Arabidopsis thaliana: one gene and its partner. The protein of the gene in region 2 interacts with the protein of the main gene of each other region in a pairwise test. Each region holds a gene or a part of one and is shown on either strand. Other genes may lie near its edges.

Region 1 (6,625 bases), 5.7 Mb from region 2:
TCTCCCAAGTAAATTTTACTTACCATCACCAATCTATCATCACTTGTTACCCATTTTACCAAGAAAAAACGAAAAGTTTCTTTCCCATAATATATATGCCGCCGATTGCCAAGAAAAACAAGATTTTCATTCCTAGATTGTGTTTGCGGGTAAACAATAAAAAGAAGAAGAAAATGGTCAATTGGTTAAGAAACTCTAATAAGTAAAAACAAAATGGTTTCGTGTAAGATCAATTCGAATTCATTTTTATTTTGGCAAAATTGCAAAAATTAATAAGAGTTGATAGTAGACGACAAACATTTTCTTGTACACTAATTACTGTAACAGTCACATTATTATAATGAAAGAGGGATTCAGCAATCCTAAAATATGATTTGTAATTTCATAATCATTAATTAAATCGCCCAATTTTGAACTTTTTAATCTTAAAACTTCGGAAAATGATTGGTCTATATTTGTGCCCAATATATATATATATATATATATATAAGTATAAATAATAAGTTCTATTCTTAAGAATCATTAGTATATCCTAAAACCTGCTTTTGGCAATCAAGAAAATAACTTGCAAAAAACCCATGGCGAACCTAATCTTCACTAAAACAGACTCCAGAAAAAGAGTGTTCCAAGCAAAATCTTGATGATATAAGAGACTCCAGAAAACAATCGTCTCTCTAGTGAGCTTCACATATCAACAGTGTATAAGTTTTTGACTAGCAAAAAACAAATATCGTTCACATTTGACTGATACATCATACACCAAACTGAAAAGACAGCATTCCCCAAATCACGTATAGAATCTTAAATCATATAAAATACATTTTGTTCTTTGCTTTGAAATATCAAATGTTAGTGTGATTTGTCGTCATGCAACGCATGCATATAATATTAATTTATTATTTGATTTGGTAATAAGTCTCTTTATACATGCATTGAATCCACCGACCAAGTCTACTATATGCTTTGAAAGTTTGAATTATATAATAATAGAAAAGATTGTTGTGAAGAGCAAGCTGAATCGATTTGGAGAATTGGATTCCGATCTGGTTTTATAATTGTTCGACTACAATAATGTCAAATGGGATAGCAAGAAAATAATGTATAAAGGTTGAAATTGCGCAACACCTAACAAAAGGGAGAGAAAGAAAACACCCCAAAAACAAAAAGGTAGAGGAAGAAACACATAAAAGAGGAGTGAAAGAGAAAGAAGCATAAAAAGAAAGGAATAGAAATAGAGCACCAATCAATGACTTCAAATTCAATTATTTCGAAACAAATTTTTAAATTTATAGATTACTAAAAATCAACAAACTTTTATAGAATAAATTTGTAAATCTATGATTCATTAGCTAAACAACTAATTTTTACACACTAAAACAATTCAGAGATGTGTACAAATAAAGACATGTGTTAAATAATAATAATTATTTGTAAAAAAATGAGATATAAAAAAGTAGATGCAACCAAATTTTTTAAAAAAAACCTTTAAAATGCCATAAAACCATTCTAAAAGTTTATAACTGTATATATAGATTTGTTATTAATTATTTTATATGTTGCTATTCATTTATTAAATATCATCTAGTTGTTCACCATAATCCATAATAGGGACAAAATCTTAAATACATTTCATATCAATTTTTTTCTTTCTTACAATCTGCCAAGTTAAAGAAATTCACAAATTATAAAAGAGAAATAATAAGGTAGTATTAAAAATTTAATACTAGTGACTATCAATAGATAGTAACAAATACTAATATAAGTATATATTAATTACGCGTTATATATACCTTTTAACAAAATATATTATTGTTGTTGACTGATACAGAGAGAAATAAAAAAAAAAACAGTTTCGATTTTTGTTATTGCAACAAAAAGTTTCGGAAAATAGAGAGAAAAGAGAGTGAGTGAGGTTGGTGATGACCAGATTTTGAGGCTTATCAATAGTACAAAGCTTGCAAAATCAATGGCGCAAATTCTGTTGGTAAGTATAAGAAAAAAAAGAAAAGCTTTTTCCTTTAGATGTCATGTAACTGTCGGGAGAGCACTCACGTGTTTCTGTCTCTTCACCTGTAAATATTCTCGCCACGTTTGCTCTCTTTCTTTTTTTCCCCGAGAAAACGCAAAGACAAAGACGTTTTTTTAATTTGGCTATAGCATGTGGAGGCTATGGGTTCTTATCTTGTATCGTCGTTCTTTGTCTTCAATATCTTTAATTCAATGATAAGCAGATCATCTCTTTCTTCACTCCTACACATCGATTCACGTCATCCACCCAGAAAAATTCATACTTCAATTAAAAATTCTGTAAGTGGAAAAAACACAGTTGGCAAAATGGGCAAAAGCTAATAATTGATTTATCTCCATTTATGGCTAAAAGCCTAACACTAGGCTCTACACTTTTCAAGTCTTTTCATTTTCTGGGTAATTGTTGTTCAATTTTAGAGATTTAGGGTTTTTGATTGTTCTTCTTTTTCTGGGTTTTATCTAAATTCGTGGATATGAGAATGGCATGTGCGTGAATGTGGCCTACTTTGTTTTCTTCCTTCTAATTTGGGAACAGAGTTTGGTTGTCCTATTTATTGTTACTTTGTAGGTTTCACTCTTTTCGACATTACTTTTCAATTGCTTCAGATTCATAAATCTATCTTCTTCTTTCTTTGGTTGTTCAGCTTTAGCGTGTTAGGCTGAACATTTAAGAACCATGGATCTCAATCTCGGAAAATGCTGTGGTTCTCGTTCTTCTAAGGTTTGTTGTCCATTTTCTTTTAGATTTGCTCAATTTTGGAATTTTGAGCTGAATAAAGATTGGAACTTTGACAATTATGCAGAAGGAATCATGGAGGTCGGTTTTGCTTCTTGCTTACCAGAGTCTTGGTGTTGTCTATGGAGACTTGAGTATCTCTCCGCTTTATGTCTTTAAGAGCACTTTTGCTGAGGACATTCAACATTCAGAGACCAATGAAGAGATCTACGGTGTTATGTCTTTTGTTTTCTGGACTTTAACTTTGGTTCCTTTGCTTAAGTATGTCTTCATTGTCCTCCGAGCTGATGATAACGGAGAAGGTGAGGGGAAGAGACACTTTCAGAGCAGAAAATCATCGAGAAACTTTATTTGCTTTGCTTATGAAGGTTTGTTACATTTGTTTTCAGGTGGAACTTTTGCTTTGTACTCATTGATCTGCCGTCATGTCAAAGTTAGCCTCCTCCCAAACCGACAAGTCTCTGATGAGGCACTGTCCACTTATAAGCTGGAGCATCCACCGGAGAAGAACCATGACTCGTGTGTGAAAAGATATCTGGAGAAACACAAGTGGTTACACACTGCTTTGCTGCTTCTTGTTCTTCTTGGGACTTGTATGGTTATTGGAGATGGACTTCTCACTCCAGCTATCTCCGGTATGTATGCTTCTGTGTTTGTAGACAGATATTCCAGTGTCCAATTGCTAGTTAAAAGAGTTTTCTAATCTTTTCTTTTTCTTGTATGTAGTTTTCTCTGCTGTGTCAGGTCTTGAGCTGAATATGTCTAAAGAACATCACCAATGTAAGTACACAAAGACTGGGTAGTGTTAGTTTTTGCTACTTGAGTTCTGATGAATGATGGCTTCCTTTGTTGTTCAAACGTGCAGATGCAGTAATTCCTATTACCTGCTTCATACTAGTCTGCCTTTTCTCGCTTCAGCATTTTGGGACACATCGTGTTGGGTTTGTTTTCGCGCCTATTGTCCTCACTTGGCTGCTCTGTATAAGTGGTATTGGCTTGTACAATATAATACAGTGGAATCCTCATATATACAAAGCTCTTTCTCCTACATACATGTTCATGTTCTTGAGAAAGACGAGAGTAAGCGGATGGATGTCTCTAGGCGGGATCTTGTTGTGCATAACTGGTGAGATATATAAGAAATCGATATTGTTAATGTCGCCATAAATAATGTCAGTAATCTAACTCGTTGAGTCTTTGTTTTAGGTGCTGAGGCCATGTTTGCTGATCTTGGTCACTTCAATTACGCAGCAATTCAGGTTAGTTTCTACTTTAGCTTGGATGATTTACTTATTGTTATATCGCCACAGGTTTCAATAAATCTTTGTTTTGTTTGCTGTAGATTGCGTTTACCTTCCTGGTTTATCCGGCTCTTATATTGGCATACATGGGGCAAGCTGCTTACTTATCCCGGCATCACCATTCTGCTCATGCAATTGGGTTTTACGTCTCTGTACCAAGTCAGTAATTTGCCTTACTTCAAGAACTCAATTTTTTTTTGGTGTTGATCATTGAAAACGTAATCTGATCTTTTGTTTATATAACTCCATGGTTTTGAACAGAATGTTTGCACTGGCCTGTGCTTGCTGTAGCAATTCTTGCTTCTGTTGTGGGAAGCCAAGCGATCATCAGTGGGACTTTCTCAATCATAAACCAGAGCCAGTCTCTCGGATGCTTCCCTCGAGTCAAAGTCATTCACACGTCCGATAAGATGCATGGTCAGATTTACATACCGGAGATTAACTGGATGCTCATGATTCTCTGCATCGCTGTTACTATCGGGTTTAGAGATGTCAAACACCTGGGAAATGCATCAGGTATGAGATTCTTTTATCAACTCAAGAATTTTGGATTCTTCGACTTTGAGATTATATTCCTTTGTGGTTGGTTGCAGGTTTGGCTGTAATGGCGGTTATGCTAGTGACAACATGTCTTACCTCATTAGTCATTGTTCTTTGCTGGCACAAGCCTCCAATTCTAGCGCTAGCGTTCCTTCTCTTTTTCGGTTCAATAGAACTTCTCTACTTCTCGGCCTCACTCACCAAATTTCGTGAAGGCGCTTGGCTTCCGATCCTCTTATCTCTAATATTCATGATCATCATGTTCGTTTGGCACTACACCACCATTAAGAAATACGAGTTTGATCTCCAGAATAAAGTCTCGCTTGAATGGCTTCTTGCATTGGGTCCAAGCCTCGGAATTTCTCGAGTTCCAGGTATCGGTTTAGTCTTCACGGATTTAACCTCTGGAATCCCCGCCAATTTCTCCCGGTTCGTCACCAACCTCCCTGCCTTCCACCGTGTTCTTGTCTTTGTCTGCGTGAAATCTGTCCCTGTCCCGTTCGTTCCACCTGCTGAGAGATACCTCGTGGGTCGTGTTGGTCCCGTTGACCACCGCTCTTACAGATGCATCGTTCGGTATGGATACCGTGACGTCCATCAAGACGTGGACTCATTCGAAACAGAGCTCGTAAGCAAGCTGGCGGATTTCATCCGTTACGATTGGCACAAAAGAACACAACAAGAAGACGACAACGCTCGTTCTGTCCAGTCCAACGAATCCTCAAGCGAGTCAAGACTAGCCGTGATCGGAACAGTAGCTTACGAGATCGAAGACAATCTCCAACCAGAGAGTGTCTCCATCGGATTCTCCACAGTCGAAAGCATGGAAGACGTCATACAAATGGCCGAACCAGCCCCAACCGCCACCATAAGACGGGTGAGGTTTGCGGTTGAGGAAAACAGTTACGAGGACGAAGGATCAACATCGTCAGCAGAAGCAGATGCGGAACTGAGAAGCGAGCTGAGGGATTTGCTGGCAGCGCAAGAAGCAGGAACTGCGTTTATATTGGGACATTCACATGTGAAAGCGAAACAAGGATCATCGGTGATGAAGAGATTAGCAGTTAATTTCGGTTATAATTTCTTGAGAAGGAACTGTAGAGGACCTGACGTGGCTCTTAAGGTTCCACCTGTTTCTCTTTTAGAAGTCGGCATGGTTTATGTTGTTTGACTTATGAAAAAACTAAATATATGAAAACCTAATTCCTCTGTTGTAAATTCGTCATGTTTAGCTTCATAGATCTCTGTTTCTGTGTTTGTGAGTCTGGGGTTTGACTTTTAACAAATCTTAAGACCAAGATGGTCAGAGGATCATATATGCCAAATGAATTAGTTTATTATACACATGAAACGACATCGTATGGAGAGGGGTCCAAAACGGTGCGTTGGAAGTTGGAGAATGGGCATGGATAATGGCGGGAATAACCTAGGAGATATGGCGGGAAAGGCCCAACTATACACACTTGACATTGCCCTTAATTCGTGTTTGAGCAAAGACTCAATCTTTCATCTCTAGATTCTTGGCGATTCTCGCTACATAGTACTTTGGTAAAGAGTGAAATCAAAGGTTGGTTTTGAGATATGGGAGGACCAGCTTACGATTGTCTGACCAACCCTTTAGGAGCCGTCCGATTCTCCTTCGTAAATGCTCTGTCTTCAGGCTACGATCCGGCTTCGTCTGTCGGAAAAGACTGGGGTGTCGTTGATTTGTTCCGTCACTACTTCTCCGACGAATCTGCTATCTCCCAGGTTTGCCCTAAAACCTTTACTCTGTTTCTATTTTTTTTTGGGTTTAGGGCAATTGAGTATGTTTTGATTAATTACTACCCAATTAGCATAATAGGTTGATTTTTTCGTGTACTTTGGCTCTGTTTCTAAGTAAATCAGCTTACTTTAGGTTTTAGTCTATCCATAGATTGGTTAATTTGGGTTTTTTCAAGGATCTGTTTTGAGATATTTTTCTTAATTAACCGATAGTGTTTTCTTTTGTCTACTAGGTTCCAATTCTTGATTCGTCAAG
Region 2 (8,184 bases):
TTCTGAGAAATAACTTGTCCAAACCGAAGAAACAGTTGAGCATCAGAAGCACTCATGGAAGAGCAATTGACAGAATGAGGAGTCTTGAGATTTGCATACTCATCGACGTAGCACGAACCAGCCAGCGTCGCTGACGTGTCAGTCGCAGCAGGTGGTTGTTCCGATAGCATAAAACTGCCGAGAACACGAGTCACCTGGTGCATTGTGGGTCGATCATTCGGCTGTCTTTTGGTGCATAGGAGTGCCAGTTGGAAAACTTTCTTCACCACACCGAGATCTTTACACGTCGATGTGATGTCTGGATCTGCCATTTCCATCACTTCATTGTTCCCCGTCTTTGACATTATCTGATGTAAGTGAATCAATGAAAACAAGATTACGGACTTGACCTAAACAGAGCAGCTGAGAGAGATAGGCAAGAAAGAACAAACCAGATGGTGGAGATTGGATTCGTCATCAACGGCTTTCCTTCGGGTTAACAACTCAAGAAGGACTATTCCATAACTGTAGACATCGGATTTCTCAGTGAGCCGTGAAGTGCGAGCATACTCGGGGTCTATGTAACCTATCGTGCCCATCACGTAAGTTGAAGTATGTGACTTTGACACACACAAGCTTTTCGCTATTCCAAAATCTGTCAAACGAGCCTCTAAGTCTTTGTCCAAGAGAATGTTGGACGACTTCACGTCTCTGTGAATGATCCTTGGACTACAGTCATGGTGTAGATAAGCTAAACCTTGTGCTGCACCATATGCTATCTTAAGCCGTGTGTCCCAATCAAGAGTCTTTTTCTTCGTAGGGCCTTTACAAAACACACAAGCAAGTTGTTATGTCACAGAAGATTCAAATAATTTTCTATGTTTGGCGATGAGACTTACCATGAAGAAGATCCCAGAGGCTACCATTTTCCAAATAGTCATAGAACAGAAGACTCCCCAAGTGAGAGAGGGAATAAGCTTGTAGGCTCACAAGATTTCTGTGCTTGATGCTACTTAGCATCTCGAGTTCTGTTTCAAACTGTTTCATTGACTGTGGGTTGTGAGAGTAAAGCCGCTTAATCGCAACCGGTTTACAATTCTTCAAAACACATTTGTATACAGTGCTTGATGCTCCGTGCCCAATGATATACTTCTCACTTAGATTCTCTGTCATTCTCATGATATCCTCGTAAACGTGGAGTGCCATGTTCATATGAAGGATGACGAGCTTCGGTGTCGAATAAGTTACTGATGTCACCAGGAAATTTAAGGATTAACTATTGGATTACATTGTAGGTGAAGAACATTCGTAAAGTGGTTTGGAGAGTAGACCTGGTTTGTCAAGTGATCCATCAAGAAAAGGAGGAGGATTATGCGGTCGGCAAGCTGCTATTAAGACCATGAGAAGGATCACAAGTCCCCCAATAGCTATTCCAAGAATAGCTGCTCTAGAGATTGACACTGCAGACAAAACATGGATAGAAACATGAGCTTTAATTATCTTAGGTTTTGTGAATGGAAGCTTTTAGAAGAATGTAATCACCTCGTACAGTTCGACGAGAATCATGACACGGTGAGTTTAGCCAACTACCGCAAAGACCAGGATTGCCAATGAAGCTTTATCCAAAAACATAAACATAGATATTAGCAAACAAAACAAAATGCACAATACCAAAACCTGCTAAATTACCATACCTGTCTGGTGAAAATCTTGAGAAGTTATTGTTCTTAGGGATATCACCTACGAGGTTGTTATGAGATACATTCCTATAAGAGTTAGTGAAGATTGCAGGGTTATATTCTTAGCAAAAGATGCACAAAGAGGGACAAAAAATGTTTCAGAACCAAAGGTGCCTACTTACAATACAGTGAGACTGAGACAGTTGGCTAATGAACCAACATTACCAGTCAGGTTATTATTTTCCAGTCTCCTGCAAGCAATTTTAAGAAACACAACATTAGATAGATCACCAACCCAATACATGTTCCTGGATCACACTATAGTGACCTCATTATTGTGTATACAGAGTTTTAGTTTCATTCTACAAAAACAATTTCTTAACAGCTTGGAAGGGATAAGAGGAAGATTGCTTACAGCAAAATTATGTTCTGTAATTGGTTAAGCTCTTCTGGAATTGGGCCAGAGATATCATTATTTGAAAGATCTCTGCAACCACAAACACACAAATTCAGAACAGTAATTGAGATAAATGAAAAAAACTCTAACCAAGCAGATAGAAGTTAACTTCTTACATTTCCATGATGCTTCTTAGATTTCCAAAGTCGCCTGGAACTACACCAGTTATATGATTTCTACTCAAGTTCCTATAACAAGAATGCAAGAGTTCACAAACCATTTTCATCTTTTGCTAGAAATAAACAATAAAACTGGAGGTCTTATGGATGCTCACATCTTGAGAAGATGCTCCAAATCACCAAGGGAAGAAGGAATGATTCCATTTATCTTGTTGTTGGAAAGATCCCTTCAAATGTCATTAAATTTAATAAATGTGAGACAAGGCACATATAATGATGTATACTTCACAGAAAACAAGAAACACTTACAATGTATCTAAGTTACCGATACGAGATAGCTCAACCGGGATTGGACCTTTGATATTGTTGCTGGACAGATTACTGGTTGAACCGATAAATCAAAGGCAACCAAAAACTCAGTAGTTAATGACTTGAAATTCGAAAAAACAAACGCTGTGGAACTATATATTATATAAGATTAGAGAAATTCTCAGCGTCGATACTTACAGGTAAGTCATACTTTCTAGCTTTTGAAATGCTCGGGGTATAGTGCCACTAAACTTGTTCCCATGAACATTTCTACATTACATTAATGAGACACAAAATCATATAAAGCACCAATCTTGAACATTCAAGTGAGAAGTTTTCAGAGAAAGAGATACATACAAGCTGTTTAGATTTGTGCAAGAGCTCAGATGATCAGGTATAGGTCCTTCCAGATCATTGTTGGCCACATTCCTATATGTACATAGTTCATATAAGCATAAGAACATCAAAACATGTCAAGCATAGGAAGAACTACTTACAGATCAAACAAGTCAGTAAGCTTCCCAAGCTCTGGTGGTATATGACCCGTGAGATGATTATCATTGAGTTCCCTATGAATATTTTACAAATAGTTGATAAGGAAACACAACTTAGTAGTGACTGTATGCAAAAAGAGAAGTGAAGAGAAGGTTGGTCATACAGGTAATGGAGTTTTGACATGTTTCCAAGCTCAGGTGGAATTGAACCAGTCAGCTTGTTACTGTGCAAATACCTAGAGATAAAGCCAAAAAGATAAATCACTATCATTAACATGGTATGACATTTGACTCCAAACTGAAAACAAACAGGTAAAGAATTACAATTTCTCGGTGAAAGTAAGATTTCCGAGAATCGGAGGAATAGATCCACTCAACAAGTTGCCACTTAGATCTCTGTAAAAGAAAACATATAACCTAAGTTCATGAAAATGTTATAAGTAGCTTCATTGATTAGAAGAAAAGTACTTACAAGACTGCAAGGGCTTGCATGAGACCAATCACTGATGGAATCTTCCCAGAGAGTTGATTGCCTTGCAATGATCTAAGATAAGAAAATGATCTTCTTTAAAAGAAAACAAAGGCTAGCCAAAATTTAAAGCAAAAGATTAGTAGAGGTGAGAACTAACAATGTTGCAACTTGCAGGAAGCCGATGTCAAAAGGGATCTCACCAGTTAGCTGATTGTAGGACAAGTCCCTGAGTTCGTAATAAGCAAACCAGTTAAGTAGATTTTCTTAAGTAACCCAAATTACAGTAATGATGTTTAGAAGTAGAGAAAGAGGCACATACAAAACCTGGAAGGCAGTGCAATTTCCTATCGTCTCAGGTATACTACCAGTCAAACTGTTGTTTCTTACGTCACTGATTCAATATCAAAACAAAGTCAGATATTTGATATTTACAAAAGAACTCATCATACTATTCAGATGTGCAAGAAGACTCACAAATACCAAAGACCAGTCAGTTGACACAAATCTGGAGAAATGTTACCGACTAAGTTGTTTCCTCGCAACCCACTGCTCATCATAGTACAACAATTATCACCGGGTAATGAAGAGACATTGACAGACTTCAAAAAACATTGACACTTACAGATACTGAAGAACTTCATTCCAGTAAATAAGTCTTGGTATCTCACCACTGAGTTTATTCTGTGCCAAGTCCCTGCAATTGAAATTACACATGTATGATCACCTATATAGCTAAAAGTAGTAAGACATGTAAGAATCATGGGGAACATACAGAATTTTCAGGTTTGGAATCTGTGAAAGTGTTGAAGGGATCGGTCCTATCAATTGGTTATTCTTCAGAATCCTGGACAAAGTAAAAATCCATATTCCACATGGTGAGTATATTTTTAGCAATGACATATGAAGACTAGTAGCAGAATAACTAGCTACTTACAGCTGCTCAAGTTGCTTCAACTTCGAAATCGAAAACGGTATGTCACCACTTAATTCATTGAAGGATAAGTCTCTGAATAAAAAACAACATGAACACACTTCATCAAATAAAACCTCTATGAACAAAAGTTTAATGGTAGAATAACACCAATCACTGTTCTTACAAGTTTTGCAAAGAAGAACAGTCACCAATCTCATCAGGGATTTGTCCAGACAAGCGATTACCTCGCAGATCACTACATTAGAAAAAAACAGAAGACAAAAGTCACAACTCAGAGAGTGGAATAGAATTAAAGTAAGATACTTTATTTCATGCTACAGTGAATGTTGAAACAGTTACATTGACAAGAGACTCTTGAGATCTCCAATAGCAGGTGAGATTTCTCCATCAAGATTCAAATCTGACAAATTACTACAAAACATAGAAAACACACACAAAACAAATTACAACTTTTTCCCACAAGAACACCAAAAACCACTGTAATAGTAATCTAAAGGAATGAAGAAACTTACAGAGCAACAACATTGAAGGTGACATTTTCACAAGACACACCTCTCCAGACACAATAATCCGAAGAAGGTGAAGTTGTCCAGTCATAAAGAACATTGTTCACATCTTTGAATGACTTCTTAATCTCCAGCAACGTTGCTCCTTTAATTTTGTTTTAAGGATATTTTATTAACACACACGCACAAAAACAAAAAAAAATATTTGTCAGTTCTTGAGAAGATTAAAAATTCAACTTCCAAGAAAACAAAATAAAACTCAAACCCTAATTTATTCAAAGCTTCTTTTGATTCTATAGAAGACCCACCAAGTAAAAAAAAACCATTACAAAAAGCAAAAATAGAAAATAACAAGTACCCAGATCTCATTTTCACCAAATGAAACTTCAAAAATCATATAAAAATCTCATCTTTAAGTTTTTTTCACTAATATAAAACAAAAAGACGAAAATCTTGAACTTGAAGAAGCATGCATCAGTATAATAACTGACCCTCCTCTGAAGTCACAGTAGCTACTAAGCTCAAGCAGAAGAGAAACCCAAGAAGAACAATATCTCTAAACAGAGCCATTTCTCACACACAGTCTTAAAACGACTGCGTTTTTAGATATACTTTAAAAGCTTTCAAGTCTCCATGAAGAAGAAACAGAGGATAGAGAAGAAGAAGAGAACCGTATTATGTACCGACATTAGATTTTTTTTCTTTCTTTTATTATGATTTCTACAGAAATTTGTTTTTGTTTTTTTACTTTAACCGAGAAAAAATGATTTTTATCGTTCCATCACATCAAATTCTGGCGGAAATTTACAGTGGTTTCATTGAGTGCTCAGACGACAGAAATACAGAGTAAGATAGAGATGGAGAGAGAAAGAGAGAGAGTCTTTAAAGAGAGGAGATTGTACAAATGTAGGGACCTGTTGTGTAAGAGAGAGAGATGAAGGGAAGAAGAATTATTTGGGGAGGATAAAGTTAAAAACCCCATCATCTTTTATCTCTCTGCCAGAGTTCTGAAGCTTTGCAGAAGAGAGAGATAGAGTGAGTGAGAGGGAGTGATTTTGTTTCTCTCTCTTGAAGGGTAAAACGGTCATAAAATGTAGAAGAAGAAGGAGAAGAAGAACATGTTAATGGCAGTGGTGAATAAAGGAGGTCGCTTTCGTTGCCCAATACTTACGAGTCTTTGTCTCTCTGTGGCTTGTTTCACAGATGACCCATATCAATAAATCCATCTTATGGGTACTTTTGTAATTATGTATTTTTATATGATTTTAGTGTAATTTTTTTGTTTGCTTAACATGTTCTTCTTCATCTTCTTACTTCAATTACTAATTTAAATTCAGGAGTTTACAAAAAGTTTGGTTCAGTTTTCTCTTCTTTAATTATTAGTATAGTTGTTGTGTTTTTGTCAACGTTTTTTAGTATAGTGAACGTGTGATTTCTAAGTGTTTTTGTTTATTACTAAATTTAGAAATATGCATGCCAATGATTTTTGGTTTAGCATCAACACAAAACTTAATAAAATATGATTGGTTTTAGGATGTTAACCGGTTTGGTTGGCTCCGGTCGGTTTGTCACAAAATTAATATTTTGAAGCTTTGAGAACGAAGTGGACTAAAACTAAAAGGGTCACAGGCCCAACAAAAGAAGGAAGAACTTAAAAAATAATAATTCCTTTTCATTTTAACTTCTCTTTTTTTTTTTGTTAAATCATTTATTTGTTTCAATAAAAATACACATAATATTATCTTTTCTCAAAAAGTACTATATAGTTAGAAAACTACATATTTATTTTAACCCAAATTATTATTTTTCCATTCCTTACACACTGTACGTTACACTTTTTATTATCATTTGCTGTACAACGTTAATATTTTTAACCATTTCTGCAATTGTTTACCTCTTTTTCATCCGCAAATTTCTAATTAAATTATATGTTGAATGTTCATAGCCATAATAATAATTTGTCCAACGGAGATAAGACGCCTCTGGTGTTATCCCCAATGTCGTCACTCCACGCTACCGTGAGCCTCCCACTGTTCTCCAACTCAAACCACAAAAAGCTAACGTGCGCAGCTACATTATCACCTCCGCCATGGAAACAGAGCCGGCGAGTTATCTCCGTCTCCTTTTTTCTCTCCCGTCTCCTCCTCCTCCCTAACGGTACACGCATCTCTCTTCAAATTCACCAATCCGATTCTCAATTTCACGAACTCGATTTTCAATATCACCAATTCGACTTTTGTTCATTTCAAATTTGGTTATTTATATGTTGATGATGATGATCAGATGCTATGGCTGGTGGCTTAATGGATAAATTGGATAAATACGTCAAGAGGTAACATTAAATCGTCTCCGATGCTTATTCCTTTGAATTCTGAAGTTAGATTTTGAAATGTTTGGTGAATTATCTAAAACTTAAAACCAGTTATTGAATAGGAAGAAACTTGATCCACTTGAAGCATATGTACCACCAGTGATTCTAGCTCAGTTACAAATCCAGGATCTTGGTAAAATTTCTCTGTTTTTTTGTTACACATTTGTTCTTAAAACTCTTGCTATATAAAACTTACACTCATGTTTATTTATGATGTTGGAGAGGGATTTTTGAATGTGGAGAAACCTGAATTTGAGGCGTGTAGACGCCAATTGCGGTCTGGTCCTGCTAGCTCTCTTCGTGTAAACATTCGAGCTGTAAGTTTTTAAAGCTCACTTGATGTCACTCATTTGGTTTCTGTTTGATGATGAAATGTGTAATGCAAACTCTTTCAGGTTGCTCAGTATGCTTCAGATGATGGTTTCTCCAAAACCGCCACTGATGATGTTGATCGATGTTTAAGGTACCGACAATGTTTGAATGAATGATGATGACCTTTGCGTGTGTAATTTATGTTGGCTTTTCCTTCTATAGAGCATTGGAAGAACTGGATTCGTTGTTTCTACGTGCGTCGAGGAAAGATTCAAATGCAACTGTTGTATTGATGAAGTCACAGCTTGGAACAGCGTTAACCGCACTGGACAGTCTTCTACAAACAGTTCCTTCTCAAGTGCTTGATAAAGGGAAAGCTATGGTGGAAGTCTACAGATCAGCATCTGAAGAAGATGCGGGAAGTGATGATTTAGAATCCTCTGAGATAAAGCAGCTCCAGTCCATACTGTGAGAGGGGAGGTCACAGGACTATTACTATCCAAAAACAGTTGTTAATCTTACAGCATTGGTATCAAAAACTCTTCTGATTCA

Evidence for each region.
Region 1: the proteins of ER (region 2) and KT2 interact in a protein complementation assay, tested with the Arabidopsis thaliana proteins (one large-scale study listed by BioGRID).

Annotation. Positions count from the first base shown.
Region 1 is NC_003071.7:16,928,741-16,935,365, forward strand, and holds KT2 (potassium transporter 2), read left to right. Parts: upstream 1-1,814; 5' UTR 1,815-2,424; exon of another isoform or gene 2,425-2,672; 5' UTR 2,673-2,704; coding exon 2,705-2,749; intron 2,750-2,831; coding exon 2,832-3,066; intron 3,067-3,153; coding exon 3,154-3,399; intron 3,400-3,490; coding exon 3,491-3,544; intron 3,545-3,629; coding exon 3,630-3,890; intron 3,891-3,970; coding exon 3,971-4,023; intron 4,024-4,106; coding exon 4,107-4,224; intron 4,225-4,326; coding exon 4,327-4,581; intron 4,582-4,658; coding exon 4,659-5,776; 3' UTR 5,777-5,929; downstream 5,930-6,625. Other genes in the region: ETG1 (E2F target protein 1 (ETG1)), read left to right, coding at 6,187-6,354, 6,603-6,625. UniProt on the Arabidopsis thaliana protein: Low-affinity potassium transporter. Could mediate the potassium-dependent cell expansion in growing tissues.
Region 2 is NC_003071.7:11,208,377-11,216,560, forward strand, and holds the start of ER (Leucine-rich receptor-like protein kinase family protein), read right to left. Parts: upstream 6,287-8,184; 5' UTR 5,520-6,286; coding exon 5,441-5,519; intron 5,095-5,440; coding exon 4,956-5,094; intron 4,855-4,955; coding exon 4,783-4,854; intron 4,679-4,782; coding exon 4,607-4,678; intron 4,516-4,606; coding exon 4,444-4,515; intron 4,354-4,443; coding exon 4,282-4,353; intron 4,204-4,281; coding exon 4,132-4,203; intron 4,056-4,131; coding exon 3,984-4,055; intron 3,901-3,983; coding exon 3,829-3,900; intron 3,736-3,828; coding exon 3,667-3,735; intron 3,582-3,666; coding exon 3,510-3,581; intron 3,434-3,509; coding exon 3,362-3,433; intron 3,274-3,361; coding exon 3,202-3,273; intron 3,113-3,201; coding exon 3,041-3,112; intron 2,973-3,040; coding exon 2,901-2,972; intron 2,814-2,900; coding exon 2,742-2,813; intron 2,616-2,741; coding exon 2,544-2,615; intron 2,462-2,543; coding exon 2,390-2,461; intron 2,304-2,389; coding exon 2,232-2,303; intron 2,146-2,231; and 15 more. Other genes in the region: AT2G26340 (uncharacterized protein), read left to right, coding at 6,878-7,106, 7,233-7,281, 7,383-7,453, 7,543-7,637, 7,725-7,783, 7,855-8,100. UniProt on the Arabidopsis thaliana protein: Receptor kinase that, together with ERL1 and ERL2, regulates aerial architecture, including inflorescence (e.g. shoot apical meristem-originating organ shape, elongation of the internode and pedicels, and adaxial-abaxial polarity), and stomatal patterning (e.g. density and clustering), probably by tuning cell division and expansion.